3 linked regions of the Caenorhabditis elegans genome follow. The protein of the gene in region 2 interacts with the protein of the main gene of each other region in a pairwise test. Each region holds a gene or a part of one and is shown on either strand. Other genes may lie near its edges. The genes, in order: F08G2.5, ncs-5 and pkc-1.

Evidence for each region.
Region 1: the proteins of ncs-5 (region 2) and F08G2.5 interact in a two-hybrid assay, tested with the Caenorhabditis elegans proteins (one large-scale study listed by BioGRID).
Region 3: the proteins of ncs-5 (region 2) and pkc-1 interact in a two-hybrid assay, tested with the Caenorhabditis elegans proteins (one large-scale study listed by BioGRID).

The regions. Positions count from the first base shown.
Region 1 is NC_003280.10:13,831,358-13,837,456, forward strand, and holds F08G2.5 (WW domain-containing protein), read right to left. Parts: upstream 2,275-6,099; coding exon 1,738-2,274; downstream 1-1,737. Other genes in the region: ins-37 (INSulin related), read right to left, coding at 3,755-4,092, 4,145-4,304; F08G2.7 (uncharacterized protein), read right to left, coding at 5,042-5,110, 5,168-5,481.
Region 2 is NC_003283.11:18,822,131-18,831,955, reverse strand, and holds ncs-5 (EF-hand domain-containing protein), read right to left. Parts: upstream 5,215-9,825; 5' UTR 5,110-5,214; coding exon 5,008-5,109; intron 4,081-5,007; exon of another isoform or gene 4,010-4,080; intron 3,256-4,009; coding exon 2,995-3,255; intron 2,909-2,994; exon of another isoform or gene 2,838-2,908; intron 2,212-2,837; coding exon 2,068-2,211; intron 1,802-2,067; coding exon 1,642-1,801; intron 1,547-1,641; coding exon 1,428-1,546; intron 749-1,427; coding exon 668-748; 3' UTR 534-667; downstream 1-533.
Region 3 is NC_003283.11:12,027,257-12,035,166, reverse strand, and holds the start of pkc-1 (Protein kinase C), read left to right. Parts: upstream 1-3,035; coding exon 3,036-3,038; intron 3,039-3,090; coding exon 3,091-3,233; intron 3,234-7,282; exon of another isoform or gene 7,283-7,419; intron 7,420-7,910. Other genes in the region: Protein kup-1, read left to right, coding at 1,281-1,435, 1,484-1,708, 2,610-2,840. UniProt on the Caenorhabditis elegans protein: PKC is activated by diacylglycerol which in turn phosphorylates a range of cellular proteins. PKC also serves as the receptor for phorbol esters, a class of tumor promoters. Involved in neuropeptide secretion in motor axons.

The sequences.
Region 1 (6,099 bases), on a different chromosome or scaffold from region 2:
AACTATCATAGTGTTTGAGTTATACATCTTTGCGCAATGACAGTGCGGCAAATTTGTCAAATTTGCCGCACACCTCTGTTTTGCATAACTGAAGCAAATCACAACCGAAATCGAATAGAATATTGAACACTGTAACATATATTTCTATCTTTAAATATATTCAGGTAAACTGTAACCGATAAAAAATTAAAAATTTGGAGCCTACAGCAAATTGCAGTGCGGAAAAATTTTTTTCGACAAATTCGGCAAGTCGACAAATTGTCGGTTTGCCGATTTGCCCGAAATGATAACTTCCGGCAAATCGCCGATTTGCCGTTTGCCGGATATCAATTTGCCGGAAGTTTTTAGAGGGCTTTTTTATAAGACGGAAACACTGAAAACTGTGCTTTTTTGAAATTTTTTTCCCGTTTTTTTTTCTTACTTTTTAAAAAAGGTGTAGGAACATTTACAGGATGCGTAAAATTTTGCCGGCTGAAATTGAAGTTCTGAAATTTAAAAAAATGTGCAAAACCACAAATTGCCGAAAATTTTCGACAATTTCCGTTTTTCCGGCAAATCGGCAATTTGCCGGTTTACCGACTTGCCAGAAATTTCAATTCCGGCAATTTGCTGATTCATCAGAAATTTCAATTCCGGCAACTTGCCTATTTTCCGGAAATTTCAATTCCGGCAATTTGCTGATTTATCAGAAATTTCAATTCCGGCAACTTGCCTATTTTCCGGAAATTTCAATTCTGGCAATTCGCTGATTTTCCGGAAATTTCAATTCCGGCAATTTGCTGATTTATCGGAAATTTCAATTCCGGCAATTTGCTGATTTATCAGTAACTTCAATTCCGGCAACTTGCCTATTTTCCGGAAATTTCAATTCCGGCAATTTGGCGAACTACCAGAAACTTTCAATTTTGCCGGTTTACCGATTTTCCGGAAATTTCAATTCCGGCAATTTGCTGATTTATCGGAAACTTCAATTCCGGCAATTTGGCGATTTGCCAGAAATTTTCAATTTTGCCGGTTCACCGATTTTCCGGAAACTTCAATTCCGGCAATTTGGCGATTTGTCAGAAATTTTCAATTTTGCCGGTTTACCGATTTTCCGGAAACTTCAATTCCGGCAATTTGCTGATTTATCGGAAATTTCAATTCCGGCAATTTGGCGATTTGCCAGAAATTTTCAATTTTGCCGGTTCACCGATTTTCCGGAAATTTCAATTCCGGCAATTTGGCGATTTGTCAGAAATTTTCAATTTTGCCGGTTCACCGATTTTCCGGAAATTTCAATTCCGGCAATTTTCTGATTAGTCGGAAATTTCAATCCTCCGGCAATTTTGCCGATTTGCCAGAAATTTCAATTCAGGCAATTTTCCAATTTGTCGGAAGTTTCAATTCCCGCAATTTTCCGATTTGCCGGAAATTTTAATTCCGGCAACAGTTTTATATGACCTCTTTCTTATTATTTGGTTTTTTAATTTAATAATAAAGAACAAAACACAAATTCGAAAAATACAAATTATTTATTTTTACACAACAATAAATAGACAACACACTTAAATGGTCATATCCCGGTTGTTTTAAGATTTATCGAAAAACTACCAACAAACAAAATATTGCTGATGCCTTTTTCAATAATTTTGTAGTTGAACACTTTTCGATATCACTTATTTAAACCAAGATATAGGATACCAAAAATGAAATAGAATACAATTAAACTAAAAACAAATATTTACATTTAAAAATTCAAGCTCCATTCGAATAAGTTTCTCTCGGCGAGTTCTCACAATCATAGATCCCGCGACGACGATTGCGGTATGGTTCCCACGTTCCATTTCTTCCATACGGATGCCATCGTCTCCCATGACGCTGCTCCCACTCGGCAAGCCCATCTCGACAACGGCATGGCGAGGAGTCACTGGAATTGGTTGATGATTTAGAACTCACCGAGTCATCGGAAGAAGAGGACGAGGAAGAATCATCAGAGTCATCAGAAGAGTCGTCAGACGAAGTGTTCGGAGGTTTCACCGACTTTCTCTTCGATCTCTGTTTACGAGCTCGTCGAGCTCGTGGAGCTGGAGATTCAGAGATCGGAAGTTCCGAAGAACGTGGATATTGACACCCTTGGGTGTCTCTACGATCTTGAGAAGTTAACGTGGAAACCGTGGAGTCGGAATATCTATCTTCATCGTCCTTATCTGAAAGTTCAGATTCTGAACTATCAGATGACGAGTCGAAGAATCCGTCTCCAAGAGGAAGTGGACGAGTGCTGAGCTTTCTCATTGTAAATGAGATGCTCTTCAAGGTGAGAGGTGCTGGTTTTATAGGTGGGTTTTGTTGACGAATAGTTTCGAATTATTTCGAAGAGTTTCGAAATTAGTCATGACTTTGATAAGGTGGGCAAATATTGATGACGATATGTGTGTAGTATTGCCAAATTTGAGGAGAACTCCTTGCCGTTTGATCTCCGAAAATTGGGGTCACACAGAACATTTCTGGAAGTACATAGAAGTCTATGTTTCCCGCAATTTTCAGAGGTCAAAAAGTAAGGAATTTGCAAATTTTTTTGCAAATTTTTTTTCCGGCAAATCGGAAAATTGCCGGAATTGAAAATTTCCGGCAAATCGGCAAATTGCGGAATTGAAATTTTCCGGCAAACTTGAAAGTTACCGGAATTGGACATTTTCGGCATACCGGCAAAGTGACAAAATTTAAAATTTCCGACAAATCATCAAATTGCCGGAATTGGAGTTGTGGCATACCGGCAAATTGACGGAATTGAAATTTCCGGTAAATCGTAAAATTGCCGGAATTGAAATTTCCGGCAAAACTGGGGCAATTACATAACTCTAGAAGGAGAACATTTTTGAATTCATAGCTCTTATATCTCTATAGTAAAATTTATGCTATAAATTTATATAAAAAACGTCCTAAAATTGTATTTTGCGCAGCAGGACCCATCTTTGTCGTGCTTTAAAGTTTCAAAAATAGAAACTCATTATTGACACACGAATTTATTTTTAAAAAAATACAAATAATAATAAATTTTATATTTAATTTGCATACTACAAAAACAAGTAATTTTTATCAAAAATTGCAAAATTCCGGTAGTCAAGTTAGTTCGTATGGGGTGGTTGAGAATTGATAACCCATACGATCCGGACCGCAGGAATTCGAAAACTGTTGGGGAGGAGGAAGTATATATACTAGAGGCAATGCAAGCGGTGGACGTTTCTCGAGGAATGGTGGTGGGTTTCTCTGGGTCTCTAGTAGTGTACAAAATGCGCTCCACCGCAATTCGATAATTAGGAGACTGTGTCAAACAACTTTATGTAAGGTGTAATTTTTTGGGTAAAAAATTGACTAATGATTTGAAAAAATCTATTTTAAAAAATCTGCATTTCAAGCCTATATATACGAAATCTTATTTTGTTTCTGTAATTTTTATTATTTTTCGAATTTAATTGAAAAATGCCTAACTAAAATTAAACGTTTCTTTCTAATCAACTTGCCCACCAAATTCCAACAATGCAAAACAGGAAGTCAAGTTGTTGCCGATGGGGTGGTTTCTTCAGATAACCCACCGACTCCGGACCTATGCCTGATAAAAAACCTTCTATCAACAGAGTATATATACCAACGGTCTGTTAAGTGGACGACGGTGTGTTGATAAGTGGCGTTTCAATGGAGCGCACTTGCAATAGTTGTGAAATCAGTTAAAATTTTGCGCTAGTAATTCAAATCCACATATATTATACATACATTACTTTATTTTTACACAATTAATACAGGCATAGTTTTGCACTCGATTGAACTTGTCCGGGATTCTTCTAGGCCGCCGCCGGCGCCACCCCCTTGTTCGGGCACATTGCTTCAATGATATTTTCGTCGGTACATTGACTGTCTTCACAACAATATCATGTCCACAGCTCTTTTTAAAACCCTCCGCCGCAAAGCTGACCATATCGATTTCTTCGGCTTCCTCCTCAAACTTTACTCCATATCCTTGCGAAGCGTACTTGCACAGAGACTCCTTGATGTCCAGATCGGTACACTCGTCCTTGCAGCACATCTTCCAAAGATCCACATCACTGCTGCGATCTGAAAAGCGATGATTCGGTTTTAACCTGCTAAGAATGATATAATAACATACCTTTCTTCCCACTGCAAGCTTCAAAAGCGCGATGAACAAGATGGGATCCACAGGAACGATAGGGAAGGAAGGCCGCATTTGGGACCGGGTGAATTGGATTGGCATTGGTGAGCACGGTGAGCATAGCAATGCTCAAGGCAATTGGCAGGAAAGCAGCCATGGTGTTCAATCGTCTATCCGGTTCGGGATGAGAGTTGAGGTATGATTCTTATTTTGTTTTCGATTTTGAGTGGGGGGGGGGGAGGGAAATGCTTACAATTATGACCTATGGGTCACGTCTTTTACGTGGAGTGTCAATTTGGGAATAAGTTGAGTGACTTTTCTTATAGTTTTTAAAGGCCAAGTTAAAATTGAATGTCTATTTAACAACTATACTTTATTTTTTGAAAATTGATTTTTCACTATTCTGCAAGCTTATTTTGTCCCCTCGGGGACTGGGCCGAGCCCGGCAGCAGTGCAACGCCAGGACGACCCTTGGGAAGTCGGAGCAAGCCCCGAGTCTTCCCTAGGTTCCAAAAATCATATAACCTTTATTACACTCATTCGAGTGTATACCGTAGGTTAATACGATAAGAACAGATACTACACTTTGATCTTAGCTAATAAGCCGAAGAAGCGATACTGAATGGAGGAGAGGGTAGGGGTAGTGGGGAGCTGTGTACCGACAACTCGTGGGTGCGCGTGGAGCACTCTTTGTTTCGTGGCCTAGAAAAGAAAGACAATTAGGTATGTCTTTGAATTAATTAAAAATCTTTATATAATAAATTAATTAAAATATGAAAAGTTCAAAGAAAAATCAATAAATTAAATATTAGAACTCGGTGAAGTGAATAATTTCGAAAGTCCATAGGATTTTTACACGTGTAATCGGGGGGAGAAACTGTTGGGGAAACGTTATTAATTAGCTGCAACTTTTTCGGGCTCTTTGGCGTCGTCTGGAGTCGTGCTGAAGCCGGAGTCCTTGCCCTGAAAGTAATTATAATTGTTTCAAGCGGAAAATTTTAAATTTCCACCAAAACTCACCTCTTCAAGAGTTGTCAAATTGGATTTACTCAGGAAATCCGAGAGCTCAGCAGCTTCTTCATCATTTTTCAGTGTGCTCGTCGAGCCATGACACCTTGGAGACTCGATTTCCTCATCACGGAAGTTCTTCGTCTCATCCTGATCTTCATCATCATCATGGAAGAAGCTTGAGCTCGATTGTTGTGGATTTTGCTGTGAAATTCCAGAAGTTGATGGGCCTTGAGATGTATTGAGTTCTAGAAGTGGAAGGGTTGGCGGAGCCGGAACAAGTGGAGCCAGGTAGCTGACGTCACTTGCTGGGACTAGGGATTCGCCTGGAAAATGGGAAAATTGAAGAAAAAAGTGCAAACATTTCGACATTTTTAGCAAAAGTTCTAGCCAAATTTCAAAAGTTTTGAGCAAAATTCTCAGAAAAATCGTCGATTTGGAGCAAAATTTTAAGCCAAATTTTGCCGTTTTTGAGCAATACTCTCATGCAAAATTTGACATTTTTGAGCATCATTGTTAGGGAAAATTGAAATTTCAAATTTTAACCGGAGCTACACGTGAAATTTTTTAGAAAAAACGTCGATTTGGAGCAATATTTTGAGCCAATTTTTGGTATTTTTGGGCAATATTTTAAGCCTAATTTTGACATTTTTGGAGCGCAATTGCAAAATTTTCAACCAAATTTTGATATTCTTGAGCACAATTTCCATCCAAATTTCGACATTTTTGAGCCATGTTTTCAGTCAAATGTTGACATTTTTGAGCAAAATTTGTTAGGGAAGATTTTAATGTTTAACTTTTAACCGGAGCTACACGTGAAAATTATCTGAAAAATCGTCGATTTGGAGAAAAATTTCCAGCCAAATTTTAACTTTAAAGTATTTGGCCTAAATTTAGGCCAAATTTTGACATTTTTTGAGCACAATTTTCTGTCAAATTTCGGC
Region 2 (9,825 bases):
CAAAAAAATGATTTATGAGCATTTTTTGAAAAAAAGTGTCCAACTGGTGCAGTGGGATTTTCGCTGGCTTCCAATCACAAGACCGGGGTTGGAGTCCCCACTGTGGCACAAATTTCTCTATTTTTTTTGAAGTATTTCAAACACGCTGAATCTAAATTTCCACATTGCAAAGCTCAAAAATTGATTTGAAAAGTTGAAAACTCGGTTTTAAAATTAAAATTTAAAAAGTCTATTTATTTTTTTTCGAATACTGATTTTTTCATCACAAATTGAAAAACTTGCACGCTTTGTATATATCTATAAAAAAAATGCAAAAAATGATCTGTGGGCATTTTTTGACAAAAGTGTCCAAATGGCGCAGTGGGATTTTCGCCGACATCCAGTCACAAGACCGGAGTTCGAGTCCTCACTGTGGCAAAAATGTTTCCTAACTTTTTTTTGGGGTATTTAAAACACACAGAATCCAAATTTCAACATTACAAAGCTCAGAAATTGATTTGTCAAGTCGAAAATTCGGTTTTAAAATTAAATTTTTTAAAATATACCAATTTTTATTTAATTTTGAAAAATCTTAATTTTGGCATGGAAAAAAAACCACACAAATAAAGTTGAACATGAGATCTACAGATAAAGGAATGTTATATCAAGGGTTAAATCACTTTTTCGATTAAAGAGGCTTGGCACAGTTGGCAAATCCATTCGGAGCTGGGGAGACCGGAGTGAAGCCGATGCTTGAATCGTTGTTTTTCTGAAACAAAAATGAGTTGAAAATTTGAAATCCTTGTAAAATTTCCGTTAATTTGACACCCATATCGACTGGGTTTCGCAAAATTTGTATTTCGGGCTTCTTGAAACGGCCTGAAACGGCCTGAAAAGGCTACAATACAAATTTTGTGAAAACAAGGCATTGTGAATGTTATACTAACACCGTAACGCGTCAAATTTGTGTTCGTACCGATAAAGTCATGAAAATCTAAAATGTTGGGCCTATTTCGGCCTGAAATGGCCTGAAAAGCCTGAAACTCCAACACTCTTGATTTATGTGTTAACACAGATAGAAATAAACCAAAACTAAACATAAATTTAACTCATGGAACTGTTTGCCGAGCAACTAATGATTTTGGCCTAAAAAAAAGCCTATTTAGGTCTAAAACGGCCCAAACACCTAAAAATTTTGAAAATGGGCAATTTTTGTGAAAACAAATTGAAATTTTGTTAAAATTTAAATTTTCAAACAAATTAACACCCAAAATGGTAGAAACTTCACATTTTGGCCTATTTCGGCCCAATCCGGCCCAAAACGGCCAGACTTTAAAAATGTTTGAAACCTAGTCAATATGGGTTTCAAATTAACGGAATTTTTGCGTAGAATCCGAATTTTTTGACAAAAATTCACGAAAATCAGCCAAAATTCGAAATTCACCCACCTGAAAGAACCGGATCATATCGTCATAGGTCACTAATCCATCCCTATCACAATCCAGTTCGGCGAATATTTTTGTGGCTCTTTGCTGGACGGACTCCTTATTGATTTCTTCACCTCCGCCTAAAAAAATGTTCAAAAAAATTTGGAAAAAAAAATTTGAGAATTTTTTTTTATTCAAAAAATTTTTTTTGTTCAAAAATTGTAAAAATTCTTACTTTTTCCTTCATTCAACTGGAATACTGACTGGGTAAAGTCCAAAAAAGCTGAATATCCAAAACAATCGCCTTCTCCACCCCCAGTTATCAATCTCATTGTCCATTTGGCATTAGTCTCGGCGGTCTGAGGCTGTACATGGGAAAGGCTGTCTAGAAGGTTCTGAAACACTTAACATTTATCAAAATTCACTTAAAATACTTAAAAATTTGATGAAAAGCGCTAAAAATCAATTTTGGAGCATTTTTGAAAGAAGTGTCCGAATGGCTCAGTGGGATTTTCACCGGTTTCTAATCACAAGACCGGGGTTCGAGTCCGCACTGTGGCAAAAATTTTTATTTTGTTTTTTTCACGGTAATTCAATGACGCTGAATTCAAATTTCACAGTTTCAAATAAAAAAAATTTGATTTTCCTATAGAAAACTTACCTCAAAAGTGATAGTCTTCTTGTCGACCCCGGCGAACGCCGTAAAAAGCCTTGAAATATACTGATCCGTGGCTTTTTCCGGTGCAATTATTGAGGCGAGCAGGTTTCGGAATTCTTCTTCTTTCATTTTACCGGTAGGTGATTCCTGAAAAAAACAATTTTTTCAAAATGGCACAGTGGGATTTTCACCGTCTACCAATCACAAGACCTGGGCTCGAGTCCGCACTGTGGCAAAAATTTTTATTTTCTTGTTTTGGGGTAACTTCTGGGTTCCGAATTCAAAAAGTTAAGTTTCAGCGTAGAAAAAATCTCAGAAATGGTCGAAAATTGGGTTCAAAATTTTAAACTGGAAAAAAGTTTGAAATTAGCTCTAAAGTTGGAATTTAGAGTCACTAAAATTTGAAACAGTGCCTAAAAACGTATTTTCTACCAATTCCAATAAATTTCAGGATTTTTCGAAAAAAAGTGTCCAAGTGGCGCAGTGGGATTTTCACCGACTACCAATCTGAACACCCGGGTTCGAGTCCGCACTGTGGCTTAAATTTTTTTATTTTTTGTTATTGGGCTAATTCGGCTGTGCTGAATTCAAAAAAAAAAAGTTTCAGCGCAGAAAAGTTTCAGAAACGGTTGAAAATTGTTCAAAATTTTAAACTGGAAAAAAGTTAGAAATGAGTGCTACACTTTGAATTTAAAGCCACAAAATTTCAAAAAACTGCAAAGAAAACGTATTTTCTGTGTATTTCCATAAATTTCAGCGTTTTTCAAAATTTTGCCAAAATGGCGCAGTGGGATTTTTGCCGACTACCAATCACAAGTCCTGGGTTCGAGTCCCCGCTGTGGCTTAAAATTTTTTTTTTGTTTTCCTGTTCTAGAGTAATTTTACTATGCTGAGTTCAAATTTCCATATTCCAAACCTCGAAAACCTCACATTTTTGAATTTCGCATACATATACTTTATCCATTTCGGACTGAACTGTGTCCTCTGCGTCAACTGCTCCAACGACGGTGGTTGAACTCCGATCTCCCATTTGTCCACCACCTCGTCTAGATCCATATCTTCATTTTTGTAGAAAATCTTGAATTGCAGCGCCCGTATCGACCAGTACAGGCGGTGGAAGAGGGTGTCGAATATGGAGTTGGTGAATAGTTTTGGTGGCTCTGAGTAGGCGTTGTGCACGGCTCGGTCGAACTGAAAATTACAGAGTTATAGTGAAAAAATTTAAAAAAAAAGCAAGATTGAATCAAAATCCGGAAAAAAACCTTTTTTTTTACAAAGAAAAAAAGTTTGGTGAAAATTTTCAAAAACCTTTTTTTTTTGGATTTTTGGAGAAATAGAATAGTTTCAAAAAACTAAAAATTGCCCCTAAGCTATACGGATATAGATAAAAATCAATAAAATTGGAAATTTGAGCATTTTTAACGGTTTTGTCCAAATGGCGCAGTGGGATTTTCGTCGTCTACCAATCACAAGACCAGGGTTCGAGTCCCCGCAGTGGCGCGAATTTTTTGTTTTGATTGTACTATGGTATTTTGAATGTGGAGAGCTCGAATTTTTAAATTTTAAAGCCTAAAAAATGGTACTTTTCCGATTTCTGCCCCCCAAAATGTTTTTCAATTTTTTAATTTAATTTAATTCACACGTGAATGTTTATTTCAATAGTATTTTAATTTTTTGGCTTAGAAAACAACAATACTAAGCCTGAAATTACAAAAAAGTTCACGTTTCAATAATGCAATTTTCGAAAACATTTTGGGGGGCAGAAATCGGAAAAGTACCTAAAAAATTTTTGAACAAGCTGAACATTTTAGATTTAAAGTTCAATTTTAAATATATTAAAAAATATCTTCAAAATGTGATTTCTGAGTGTAAATTTTCTAAAATTTTAACTTTGAACGTGTTTCATCATTAATTGTGGTAATTTTCCAAATTTTTTCAAAATTTTGCCAAAATGGCGCAGTGGGATTTTCACCGACTACCAATCACAAGACCAGGGTTCGAGTCCCCGTTGTGGCAAAAAATTTTTGTTTTGATTTTTTGGTGGTTTTTCATAGCGTACGATTTGAATTTTTAGGTCTCCAGATTGAAATCGTGAGAAAAATCGTGAAAAATCGTAAAAATTTTATTTCAATTTTTTTTTTTCGTTTTTCTTCGTTTTTCTATATTTAATATTCACTAACCATTTTTAATTTTTTTCCCGACAAGCCTAAAAATCAGAAAACTTATACTAAGAAAATAAAACAAATGAAAAAAAAGTTATGGCGAAAGCTAGAAAATTGGAAAGCAGGTGGAAATTTTTAGAGGAAATCAATACGGAAAACTCTGGATTTTCTGATGAAACCAGGTGAAAATAAGGGCTAAATTAGAATTTTAACAAGATTTTATTATTTTTGAGCATTTTTGAAAATTTTGCGCAAGTGGCGCAGTGGGATTTTCGCCGACTACCAATCATGAGACTGAGGTTCGAGTCCGCGCTGTGGCAAAATTTTTTTAAAAGATTTTTTTTGGTTTTTGGGGAAACTCAAGGGTGTTAAACTCAATTTTCTATGCTTGATATTCCAAAAATATCTGGAACAACTTGTTTTAAAATTGATGTTCTCAAAAAATGGAAAATTAGTATTAAAACTGGATTTTTTAGGAAAAAATTGAAAATTTTGACCCAAGATTTTTCATAATTTTCTATGAATTTTCGACAAATTTCAAAATTTTGCGCGAGTGGCGCAGTGGGATTTTCGCCGACTACCAATCATGAGACCGGGGTTCGAGTCCGCGCTGTGGTCGAAATTTTTTTTTCAGTTTTTTTTTTGGTTCTTGGGGTAATTCAAGGGTGCTGAACTCAAATTTCAATGTTTTAGGTTTCAAAAATATTTGGAACAACTTGATAATTTAGTTTAAAATTCGTAAAAAAATTCGATTTTTTTTTTTCAAATATTTTAAACTTACTATAATCTGATAGAGACTTTGCTCATATTGGTCCTGTAACATAGTAGATTTACGACCTGGCCTGTCGCCACGTCTCGAGTCAATTGATGAGGCTCCGCCCATTTTTTTAACTTTTCATTTTTCACAAAAAAATAATTTCAAAAAAAAATTTTCCAAAAATTTTTTTTCGGGTTTATCTTGTTTTTATGTTGGAATATAGCTGATAGGTGATAGTGGTAATAGACAAGTGATGATATCAGTGATAAATGAGGGTTGAGAGATGAGAACTGGTGGCACTGGTGGCACCCCCTCCCTGCTGACACGACAAGTGATAGTGGTCGAGCAATTGAGAGATATCAGATGGTGATAAGAGGGGAAATGATGAAAAAAGAGAGATAAACACATATATAATGTTGTTTTTGTGTTTTTTTTTAATCTCGAAAAAAAAAAATTTTTTTTTTTGAAAAAAAAGTTGAAATTTTTTCGAATTTTCCCGATTTTTTACAAATTTTTAAGGTTTAAAATTGTGAAATTCAAGATGAGAACCTGTAAATTACACATAAAAAACAAAGTGAAACGGAAAAAAAATTGGGCCACAGCGGGGAGTCGAACCCCGGTCTTGTGATCGGTGGTCGGCGAAAATCCCACTGCGCCATTTGGAAACTTTTTTTCAATAATGTTGGTCGTGCAAAAATTGAGTAAATTAACGTTTCAAGCATGAAATATAATTATTTATATGGGAAATATGATTTTCAAGCTAATTTTCAGCGTTTCGAAAAAAAACCATTTCCCAAAAAACCAAAAAAACCGAAACTAAATTTACGACTATTTCTAGAAATTTTACAATTCTAAAACTAGTAAATTCAAGCTCTACACAACTAATATGCTCTCACAAAACTAGAAAAAAAATTGTGCCACAACGGGGACTCGAACCCCGGTCTTGTGATTGGTAGCCGGCGAAAATCCCACTGCGCCATTTGGACAAAATTGTCGAAAATGGCGGAAAATGGCTGCTTTTATCAAAAATTTATCTTCTTAAAGTTTTTGTGCAAATCTTGGAAAGAAGTTTCATAATATAGAAAAAAAATTTCAAAAATTTTTTTTTCAATGTTTTTAGTACGAAAGCCCAAACAAATTTTGCCGAAAAAAGAAAACATCACTCACTAGACACAAAAATTTGAGAAAAAAGAACGAATAAATGCCAAACGCATATCCTTTTCGTGTCTTTTGGAATGGGAAAAAGAGATATTGAATAGAAGAAAAAATAACTGGAAAGATATAAATGGAATTGTCTTCTTTTTTTGGTTAGAATGCTCGTTTGGGTATGAAATTACAAAAATTCAAGTTTAAATTCTATTGATAATAGGAAAAATTTTGGAAAAAAATTTTTTTGAAGATACAAAAAAAACTAAAATTTTATTCTAAAAACTGAAAATTAACGTGACAAAATACAAAAATTCAAGTTCCCCACCCTTAAATTGTCCTTAACCTTTTCGAAAATTACAAAAAAAAAATTTTGCCACAGCGGGGACTCGAACCCCGGTCTTGTGATTGTAAGGCGGCGAAAATCCCACTGCGCCATTTCGGCAAAATTTTCAAAAATAGTGAAAAATGCTAAAAAGTGGGATAATTGACAAGTAAACACATTTTCAGCGTAAATTTTCTGTTTAAATGAAAAAAAAACCAGTTCTACAACCAATTTGAAATTTGAAGTATTGGGAGACGCTTTTCGACAAGTTCTCAAACTTTTTGCGGTCTGAAACCTCGAAATTCGAGTTAATTATCTTTGAATTACTCGAAAAATCCACAAGAAAAAATTTTGACCACAGCGGGGACTCGAACCCTGGTCTTGTGATTGGAGCCGGCAAAAATCCCACTGCGCCATTCAAACGAAAATTTCAAAAAAGGTGGAAAGTGATGATAATAATAAGAAAAATAGGTTTTCAATCCATATTTCACAAATTAATTCTAAAAATCTAATAATTTAAATAAAATTTTCACAATTTTCGGATAAAAATTTCGAATCCAAAATTTCGACCTTTCTAAAAGTTTTGCACCTTTAAAACCAAAAAAATGCAGGTTTTAAAGTCGAAAAAACCGTAAAACTGCTCAAAATCACAAGGAAAAAAATTTTTGCCACCGTGCGGACTTGAACCCCGGTCTTGTGATTGGGAGTCGCCGAAAATCCCACTGCGCCATTTGGGCAAAAGTTACAAAAACACTAAAAAATGTAAAAATTTGCAGGAAAATCATAAAATTTATGTTGTCACTCGGGTTTAAAGACGAAATGAAACAAAACGTTGTGAAATTTGATAGGACCCTTTTTTTTCGGAAATCAGAGCCCCCGAGGAAAGAGGGGGACTCTGATTTACGATTGAGCATTGAACAGGAGGTGGAATATCTGTTAGGCTTTGTTATGAAACTAGAAAATTGAAAATGAATTGAGAAAATTTAGGAAATTTGGGAAAATTTTTTTCAAAAAATTCGAAAAAAAATGTTTTTTTCAAAAATTTGGCCTAAAATTATTTTTTTTTTCCCAACATTTTTTGTTTCAACTTGGGTTATTTTAGTTTAAAATCAACGTTTTCCCACATTTTTCACACCAAAAAATCGAAAAAAAGCAGCGAAAATAGAGAAAAAAAGCGAAGAAGAAGTTCTCATCTTCTATCTCATTTCAGCGTCATTAATTATTCGACTTTTGTGGTGTTGTGGTGGTGGTGTGTAGCATTGGTTATTAGTTGTATCTCTAAAAGTCTGTGGAACAAGAAAAAAATTATACATACTACACTCTTTTTGGAAGTTTTTAGGCCAAAGATGACTGACTTTGCCGATATGCTATATTAAATAGTATATTTTTTGCATTTTTAAAACTCAAAATATATAAAAATTACGAAATCTACCTTAAATATTACATTTCTTTCGAATTCAGTCAATTTCCGCCATTTTCGACAATTTGTCTGAATGGCGCAGTGGGATTTTCGGCGCCCTCCAATCACACAACCGGGGTTCGAGTCCCCGCTGTGGCAAAATTTTTTGTTTTATTGTTCTTAAGGCAAACCGACTGGGCTGAGTTGAAAATTTTAGGTTTTGAAGCTTAATAAGTTCCAGAAAATACGAAAATTTAGTTTTTAGAAAAATGTGGAAAAAACAATAGTTTTCTTACTTAAAAATTTTTCACTATTTCAAATTTTTTTGCTATACTGACAACAAAACTAAGCTTATCATGCTAAAAATACCGCCCAAGTTGGAAAAAATACAGAATGTCAGAAATTGGGTGCGAAAAGTCATATAAATAACTAAATGCCTCTTCACGGCCCGTTGGGTGACGTAAAGGGGTACAAAGAACATACAATTGGGGTGAAAATGAAACAATAACACAAAATGGATCAAGTTTTTGAGAAAAAATCATTTTTCAAAAATTTGTAAAATTTGAAAAAAAAATTTCCAAAAAAAAAAATTTTTTTTGGCAAAAATTTTTTCTCTTAACTTTTTCTCAATATTAGCTTTGAATTTTTAAAACATACTAAATAACCAAATTAGCATACCTGACTCGGCCTCCGACGTATCCGTTCGCTTGCCAATGGGGAGAACACATTTTTGCCTGAAAACATCCGTTGGGTGCTGGAAATTTGCAATTGTAGGTTTTTTTTTGGGTTATTTGATTGAAAAATTGTTTAGAATGATGAATTATAAAAGTAGAAAATAAATAATAATGAAAAAATTCGAGTGAAATTTTTTTTTTTTTTTTTTGAAATTTTTGAAAAAAAAATTTTTGGAATTTTTTTTTCGAAAATAATATTTTTCTTATTTTTTCTCAAATTATTATATTACTAATTTTACTTTATTTTTAAGTATGTTCCAGTAAAAAAACATTAAAAAAGAACAAAAAAACACATTTTCCCTTCAAAAGTCATCAAATAGTTGCTCCGCGGAGCAACTATAATGGAGCTATTACAACTTAATGTGTTGGTGCTCTTTTTTTCTGTTTTTTGAAGAGTTTTCTGTGTGAAAATGTAGAAAATGTTGAAAGGTAACTTGAGAACAATTTTATGAATAGGAAATGAGGAGCACATATCGGATAACCTATAATTGTTCTAAAATCGAAAAAAATTGGGAGAAAAATTGATCCAAAACATAGAAAAAGATGTTTAGTATAGACAAAATTTCATTTTTCATTAATTTCCGCCAATTTACGCCATTTTTAAAATTTTTGTCCAAATGGCGCAGTGGGATTTTCGGCGCCTACCACTCACACCACCGGGGTTCGAACCCCCGCCGTGGCAAAACTTTTTGTCTTAGTGTTTATAGGTTAATTAAGTGTTGCGAACTTTAAATTTGAAGTTTTAAACCCCAAAAATTTTCAAAAATATGAAAAAAAAATAGAAAACTGATATAAATAATTGAAAAACTGATTTCTGTTATTTTTTTTTCAAGCTAAAAATTTAAATAGTAATCTTGACCACCACATTTTATTAATTTCTTTGATTTTCCGTCATTTTTGATAAACTCCAAATATTGCACAAATGGCGCAGTGGGATTTTCACCGGCTTCCAATCACAAGACCGTGGTTCGAGCCCCCGCTGTGGGCAAAATTTTTTTTTCGTGTTTTTCAAGATAATTTCGAGTGATTAAAAGGCGCTGATTTTAAATTTTAAAGTTTGAACAACTAAAAACTTTTGAAAATTGGGGAAAAATGACTTGAAACTTATTTACCTTCAAAAAAAAGCTTATAGGAATCGATATTTTTTGGGGTTTCGTAGTTTAAAATATAAAAATACTTCAATTTTTCGAATTTTAAACCGATTTGCGTCAATTTCAGTAATTTTAAAAAAATTTGCC
Region 3 (7,910 bases), 6.8 Mb from region 2:
CTCATTGGTCCTACTCTACATTCATATGCAAAACAAATTAAAAAGAATAATAGTACTCGAAAAAGAATGGAGAGTGTGTTGTGTTAGTTTAATGTTTCTATCTCAATCCGTCATTCTGACGGTTAATAATACCGCTTACATTGTCATTATTAGTTTTCCCCTTTCTACTACTACTACACAGTTGGGTCGTTGTTCACACCGTATCCAATCGAGAGGATAACCCCTTTCTACTACTTCTCTGTCATATAGTAGATCGCGTCGATATGTTTGTATGTTCTTTTGTCGTCGATCCTTCTCGATTGACGATTGACCGACGCGTGTTATGTTTCCCATTCTGTTTAGGGGAGAATCGACCCGTTGTTTTGAAATGGAGCAGTCACCAGTAGCCGCACAATGAAGTAACAGGATACTGGGTCAACTCGCATCATTCACTTCCCTACAATGTCGAGCAATGTGTAACCTAGATGATCTGATTTAGGGATCATCATGTGTATTTCAGATACAGAATTATTATATTAAAATTTAAATATGAAGCAGCTTAATTTGGAATTTTGCTTAGGAAAATCAAAAATGTCACAGATGCAGAAATACCACAGAAGAAAAACATAAAAATCCCAAAATAATGGAAAATCCTTCTATTAAGAAAAACGCTATTTTAAATTTCAGAACTTCCTGTATGAATTCCCTCTAAAATAAGAGGACTCGCCCACTTGCGGGTCAATCAGAAATTTTGATCACCACGCAATCCGTCTAATTGGTTTAAAAGTGGGCCGAGCGAATCGCTGATTGGTCGCAATTCTTATTTTGGAGGGAATTCAAACAGGGAATGTAACATCGCGTTTTTTTTTCAAAGTAGGATATTCATTATTTCACGATTTTTTATTCGTGTTTCCTTTCTGGTGTTTCTGAATTTGAGACTTTTTTGGATTTTCCTAAGCAAAATTCCACGCTACTCCACCTTTAAAAAATATACTTATCTCCCCTAACTTTGATAATATTGTTTTCCATACTCATCCACATAATCATATTAAAATTGTCCAATAAAAGACCTCCCATCAGAGGTGTCGTAGATGAGCACGAGGGTAAATATAGAGTTGATGGGAGGACAATGAGTATGGTGTGGATGAACGGATGTAATCGAGTTTGCTTATGCGATTATTCTGCTTTTGACATTTCATTCTTTATTATGAGGCTTGAGTAGGCAAACAAGCAACTAGTCTTCAAATCTTTGATGAAGAAAAATAGATCAGAAGATCTTAATAATTTCAAAATGTTTTCAGAAAAAGGAATCGTCGCAAGTGAGAAGAACAACGAATTTATTACTGTAGACATAAATGCTCGCGAGGTTCCAAATGGAAAATGGAGAGTATTAACAAAACACGTTCCAGCCAACATGTTCGTCATTATTCGATATGCAACGACGGATGAATATCAGGTTGAAAATGAATTTACTATAAAAAAAAACAAATGTTTCCTATTTAAGACAATGGTAACATCAGATCGGAGTCAAGTTAAAAAGACCGGCGTAAAACGTGGAAATGATTCGTTTTGGACACATGAGTCATCAAATCGTGGAGGATTGAATGTATTCGATAAAGAAGGAAAAGAACTCGAATGGGATTATGAGCATGATACAAGATTTTACAACGAAGATAAAAATGAGGAGAAAGTCGAGAAAGTGAAACTTCCACAGGGAATCAAAATTAAAGTGAGTTTTTGAATTCAAATAATTCATTAACGGTAGAGTAGATTCGATTTGGAATTTGCTTTAAATTATAGAAAATGAATCATAATGTAACAGAATATAACTGTTAAAAAAATGTTTAAGATTTTATTTTCACTTTTGCAAAAATTTGAAAATTGGCTAATTATTTTTGAATTCCCACGCAAGTTAATGACCTAGTTTTGACATTTCGGCGTTTTCTGGTTAAATTAATTAGGGTTAATAGTTTCTCTTCTCAATATTTCAGATTAAAAAACACTAAAGAAGTTTCTGCGAATTTCTTTCATTAAGTTAAGTTCATTTTCTTGCGCGGAAATTCAAAAATAATTAGCCCATTTTTATGATTTGCAAAATTGAAAATATCATTAAAAAAATTTAGAAAAAATTATATAATTTTTTAGCAATTATTTTCAGTCATTACAGAGAAGGAATATGCAAAAGAAGTGATGAAATTTGTAGAATGTTCCTATTTTGTAGATTTTTTAGTTTCAGCAGGTATTCAACATTAAACTCGATTTGCTTTTTTAAATGGTTATTTATGATATCTCATCGTTCCTGCAGTACCTTAGTTCTAGAATATTTCAAAAATCAGATTTATTTAAATTTAATTTCAAATACCATATTTCTTTTATATTGTTAATTTCCCAAAAGTATTGCGGTTTTTATGTAGAGATTCGATCAAATTGTTTTGATTATTGTGTCACAAAGATAGTAGTTATATGTTTTTTTCTGCAAATTACGAAAAATTAATGTGAATACTAAAACGGTCTAGTTTTTGAGTGGATCTCTCAACAAAACATAGTTAACTGAAGAAATGCATTATTTATGATCTTATATTTTTCACAAAATACTCACAAACTCTAAAATGTTATAAAATAATTTTCAGGGTCGAGGAGCTGTGAAATGCGGATTTCTTTTCGGCGAGGGAAGTAGTTCGTTAGCTTCTGATGACACCACTCCAGTCAAGAAACGGAGAACTGATGAAAAAGATTACGAAAAGGATGATATCGTATCACGGCAAGGGTCTTCTGCACACGCCATACGACCTGGAAGAGTTGAACGTCCAATTCGAGAACGGATTCAATTTCCTGGAAGAGAAGATCCAGATGAATATTAACAATATCTCACCACAAACTGTATTTGTTTTTTTAATTTCTCACAATGACCAGATAAATTTATTTGTTTCCATGTTTTGTTATGTATTTTATTTTCTATGAAGCTGTCGGTCGCTTCTATTATACTTTGATCCAGACGATCTTATTCTCAAAACTTACCATTTTTTCAGTAATTTCACGGGTCAATATGTCATAAAATGGTAAGGAGCATGACAAACTGACAAGCAAAAGAATGTTAAATTTTTATTTCAGAAATTCTTCAGTAGTCGGACAATATCATCTGGAGGATTTTGGGGTAAAAATAAGAATAAATACGCGTTGAATGGAAAAGTTTCACCAAAGGATTCAGTGTTGTTAAGGAAGAGGAGGAAGATTATATCAAGACGGTATCGCAGGTTAGTTTTTAATTTATTTTATAAAACTGGGAAATTCTTTGCAAATTTTTTCCGCATAGTTTCCACAGAAAACAATGATTTAGTCAATATCGGTGTTCTTCCTGATTTCTCTCGCTTTCCTGAATGTCTCGCTTTGTTTCAAAAATCTTTTGAAATTCGTTTGTAGTCAAAAAGTGGCAAAAACTCAGTTTTCGCCTAACATCATTTTCGAAGTCGATCAAAAATTCTCTCGTACGAGTTTATATTTTAATTGCGTTAGAATTGTTCGTATTTGAACATTGTAAATTTTAGACCTTGTAGGAATGTTTACAATTTCTCAAAAATCCAACAAAATTGGCAATTTACCAAAAACTGTGGATGGGAATTTTTGAAGTGTTTAATTGTGATATTTGGCCATGTTAGACTAGTATAAGTGTATTTAGGTAAATTCCTCACTGAAAATGTTCCAGCTTTTTTAATCAATTAGAAAGTAATTTTGGAATTTGGCTCAGTAGCTCTTACTGTGTATCATGGCCCGACATCTACCGGGTTGCGCCACTTCTGTGTGTTTTCGAAAAGATTCGCGGAACCCGGTAAATGTCGGACCATTAGTATATAGTAAGACACACTCATTTTTAAGACCCCTCTTTTAATTTAAATATTTTTCCATTGCTTCTTGAGAATCTGAATTTAAATATCTTTCGCTAATCTGAAATTTAAGCGCAGGTGAAATTTTTCGTGAGTATCGTGTTGAATTAAGTGAAAAACGTTATCACCTGTTTCTGCCAAACACTCAAAAATGGTGATAATTGTAATGAGGCAAACTCCAATTTATAATTAAATTTCTCATAGAGAACTATTGTTATAAGTTTATAGAACTATAGTATTTATCTCGTAAATTTGGATAATTTGCAAAGATTGTAAGAACAATTTAGTTTCATAATGAGATAATACAATTTTTGTTACGTTCTCGATCTGTAATTTCTCTCATCTCATCCGGATAAATGAAATAAGAGGAAAACCGATTCAAAGACGACGTCCAACGTAAATTTGCTTCCTTCATTTCTTTTTCTCCCCATAACTGAGAGTTTTGTGCATAAAAAAGTAGCTGTTGAAAGGCGCAATTCGAAGAAAAATGCGAGAGGGAAACAAGCTGTTGCTCTCTTGCTCTTTCTTTTTTCCTTTCTCACTTCCTTTAGATCTTGTTCGTTCAGTTAGCTCCCAGCCTCTCTCTCTCTCTCTTCCGATTCACTTCACTCACTTAAAAATGTATTCATATGTACCATAAAACTATTTTTCGTCACACTAAATGCAGCCCATGCGCTGAACTTTTTGCAACTTCACACTCAAAATTCTCTTTTTTTTTTGTTCTCGTCATCAGTTTTTCGCCGCTGGCTCTACCGGAATCTCTCGATGAAAAGATTTTTTACTTCGAGTATAGTGAGCTCCCTTTTCTTTTCTATTTTAGCTTAAGGCGGCGGCAAATTCTGTATACAAAATAGAGACGCATAGAGAAATGCAAAAAAGGAAGAAGAGGAGCGGCAAAAATGCAGATTTTTCTCATCAACTGCTCGTGAGACCGAGCATTCAAGCATCACATTTGTTGAGATGGTCACGGTGTTGAAATACTTTTTTTTGTTGTTATATCGAGATAGAGTTGTATACAGAATGGAAATTAATCTGATATTTAGAATAAAAAGTGCTAGTTTTTAGTCAATTTTACGTTGTTCTGATTTATTACATCGACGATCCTTGATGCCAAACTAGAGATTTTCGAATGTGCATTGGGCAAAATATCTCGTAGCGAAAACTACAGTAATTCTATGAATGTGTCGATTTATGGCCTCGATTTTTGAAATGAATTTATTTTCAAACAGTAAGTAACATCGATATTCCCATTTCTTTTGTTTCTTCGGATTGTTTTCTTTTTATTTTGCTTAATTAAAAAAAACTATCGATAAATTAATGATTTTAATTCATTTCAAATATCGAACCCGTAAATCGACACAAGGGCTACAGTAGTCATGTAAAGAATTACTGCAGATTCCGCTACGAGTTATTTTGCGCGTCAAATATGTTGTTCAATACGCATTCTCAGAATTTTGTGTTCCAGTAATACTAGGAGCGAAAAAAAGCACAATGTAAAAAAACAACTTGTGTGCCTTGTTTCCCGCTAGAAATATATAGTAAATACGCTTTCGATCCAATTCCTACGATATTTGTTTGACAGCCGGGTGTTCGTTGTCATTGTTGCAGAAACAAACGCCCACTGGCCAGCACTCGTCATAGTATTCGAAAAGTTTTGGGAATTAGAACATTTTTTTCGATTGCTATCTCTCTGAAACGCAGGTACCGGTCTAGGTGTCGGAATTATTCAAATCACTTCAACCATCACCACCATCATCATCACTGTTTGAGTGCGACAGTACACATTCTATTATTGCAACGGATTTTATTTGCCAGTCAATTAAAAAAAAAATTCACTCAACAGTTATTTTAAGATCACTGTCAATCTCAATAGTTCTGATTAGTACTTATTGAGTTTTTTGGCACTGTATTTTAAATATGATCCTTTAAAAAAAGGGAAAACTGTAAAATTATTATGATTCGAAATTATAATTATATGGTTTCTCAGAAGTGCAATGTATAAATTGTCAAGTACGAGTTATATCTAGTTATGGTAAGTTTATCTGATTATACAAGATCACTGAAATTTGTAGAATAATAGGTATTACGATAACATTCATTTTTTACTAGCTAACATTATGTATGTTTCTGCACAAAACATTAGTATTACGCATACAAAGACATTTTTCGGTGAAGTGTTCTCAAAAACTTTTTTTGCTAGGAAACAGTATCCATGAAACAAGTGAAGCGCGGCGCGGAGTAATGCTGGGCTCCGACATTTTGTTAGCTTTCTTTAGACTCAAGTAAGCACAAACTATTCAATTCTATCACATCTGCGAATACTCACTATTTTTGTAATGAATTTTCTCAATTTCAAAAGGAAGAAACTAGGAAAATCATCAGAGATTTCAAATATGACTCCGAGAAAAAATATATTCATGTAGGTTTCTATGTTCGTTTTGTGGTTTTCTTTTGCGTTGGTTCGAACGTTCAAAGATCCTTTGTTCATCTAAACTGATCCATTCACTAGCACCAATTGCTGGTCCGTAGTCCCTTTTTCTCATGGACGTCCAATGTAACTTTTTTCTTTTTTATTTTTCAAACTGCGCGAAAACACGGACTCATTTCTGTTTCCCTCTCTTTCTCTCTCTTAAATATACACTCACACATATACACATCCACATATACTCGATTTTCCACGTCATTGGGTTTAGCTGAAAAGATGGGCTCTCTTCTGTCCTTCGAGGAAGAGCATTTTCATAATCTTATTCGTCTTCAACTTTACTTTTGATCTTTAAGAACAAAAACAACAGTCTGTTAAGTATATTGATATATTGTGTGTTTTTTAAAACATAGGTATACGAAATTCGTTCTTTTATCGTTGATCCCATTGCATATTGTTCACACCTCCTCTTACTTCATTTCCGGGTAGATCAGCACAGGATTAATGTACACAACGACTGCGACTCTTTTCAAATAGTCGCCCTTGTTGTCATCGACGTCGTTGGTCGTCAATGACGGTCGCGTCATCGTGGCTTTAGAATCAAATTGTTGGAATACTATGGATCTCATATGTAGATGATATCTCTTTCTCCCCCATCCTCAACGAGTTCCAAAATATCTATCAAATTGGATGAGTTTTCACCGGATGTATCAAGTAGGAAAAGCTTTTAGCCTTTAATTTCTAACGCTGGAGACGTTAGAGTCTTTAAAATTAGTTCATCGTTTAATTTATAAAATTCTTAATTCTAAAATTTTTGGAGCTATTCTTCTCAAAGATATTCCGTTGTTCAACATTGAGACATGTTATTACTGATATTTCCAATATACTAAACGAGTCATATAAATCTTTTCTTTCAATTGACCATTTTATTAAGACGGATTATACGTGTACTAACCCTTTCACTGGGTTCATTCATTTCCATGCTAGGCGCGCGTGCCTCACACGACCAGTATAATCGACACATTTACGAGAGCATCAAATTGAAATGAGATATTTTTGCCTTGAGCGAATTTCGTAGACCAAATGAACTAAAATGTCTATTTGTATGGAATTGGTCGCAATTTATCTTTCTCTCACCCTCTCATACACCTTTCATCCGTTTTAGGAGTACGGTAGTTTCAGAAGTCGAGTGGATTTTTACATTTTGTTGCTGAATTGGTTATGGAAAGTTGTAAAATCGATTTTGCCGTCAAAATTTTCGAAATAGTCTCAACTTGCAAAATACCACAAAAGAAAAACGAAAAAAATCGCGAAAAAAAAATTAAAAATTCAATTTAAAAAACTTTATTTTTCAAATTTGACTAAACTCCCTGTTTAAATTCCCTCCAAAAAGTTTATGTAATTCTTTTGCTATTTTTTTGGTCACATCTGCGGAAAAAATACTCTGAAAGAAATCCTTAAAATGATTTTAACTTGGTGTAAGGTGAAGTCTATCAAAAAAAAACTTTAAAGATGTAACAGAAAACATGGGAAAGATATTTTGAGATAGAAATCAAAACGAACATTAGTGACACATGCCCCTCTTGCATTTCATCACATTTAAACATACAACAAACTGATGGCTACAG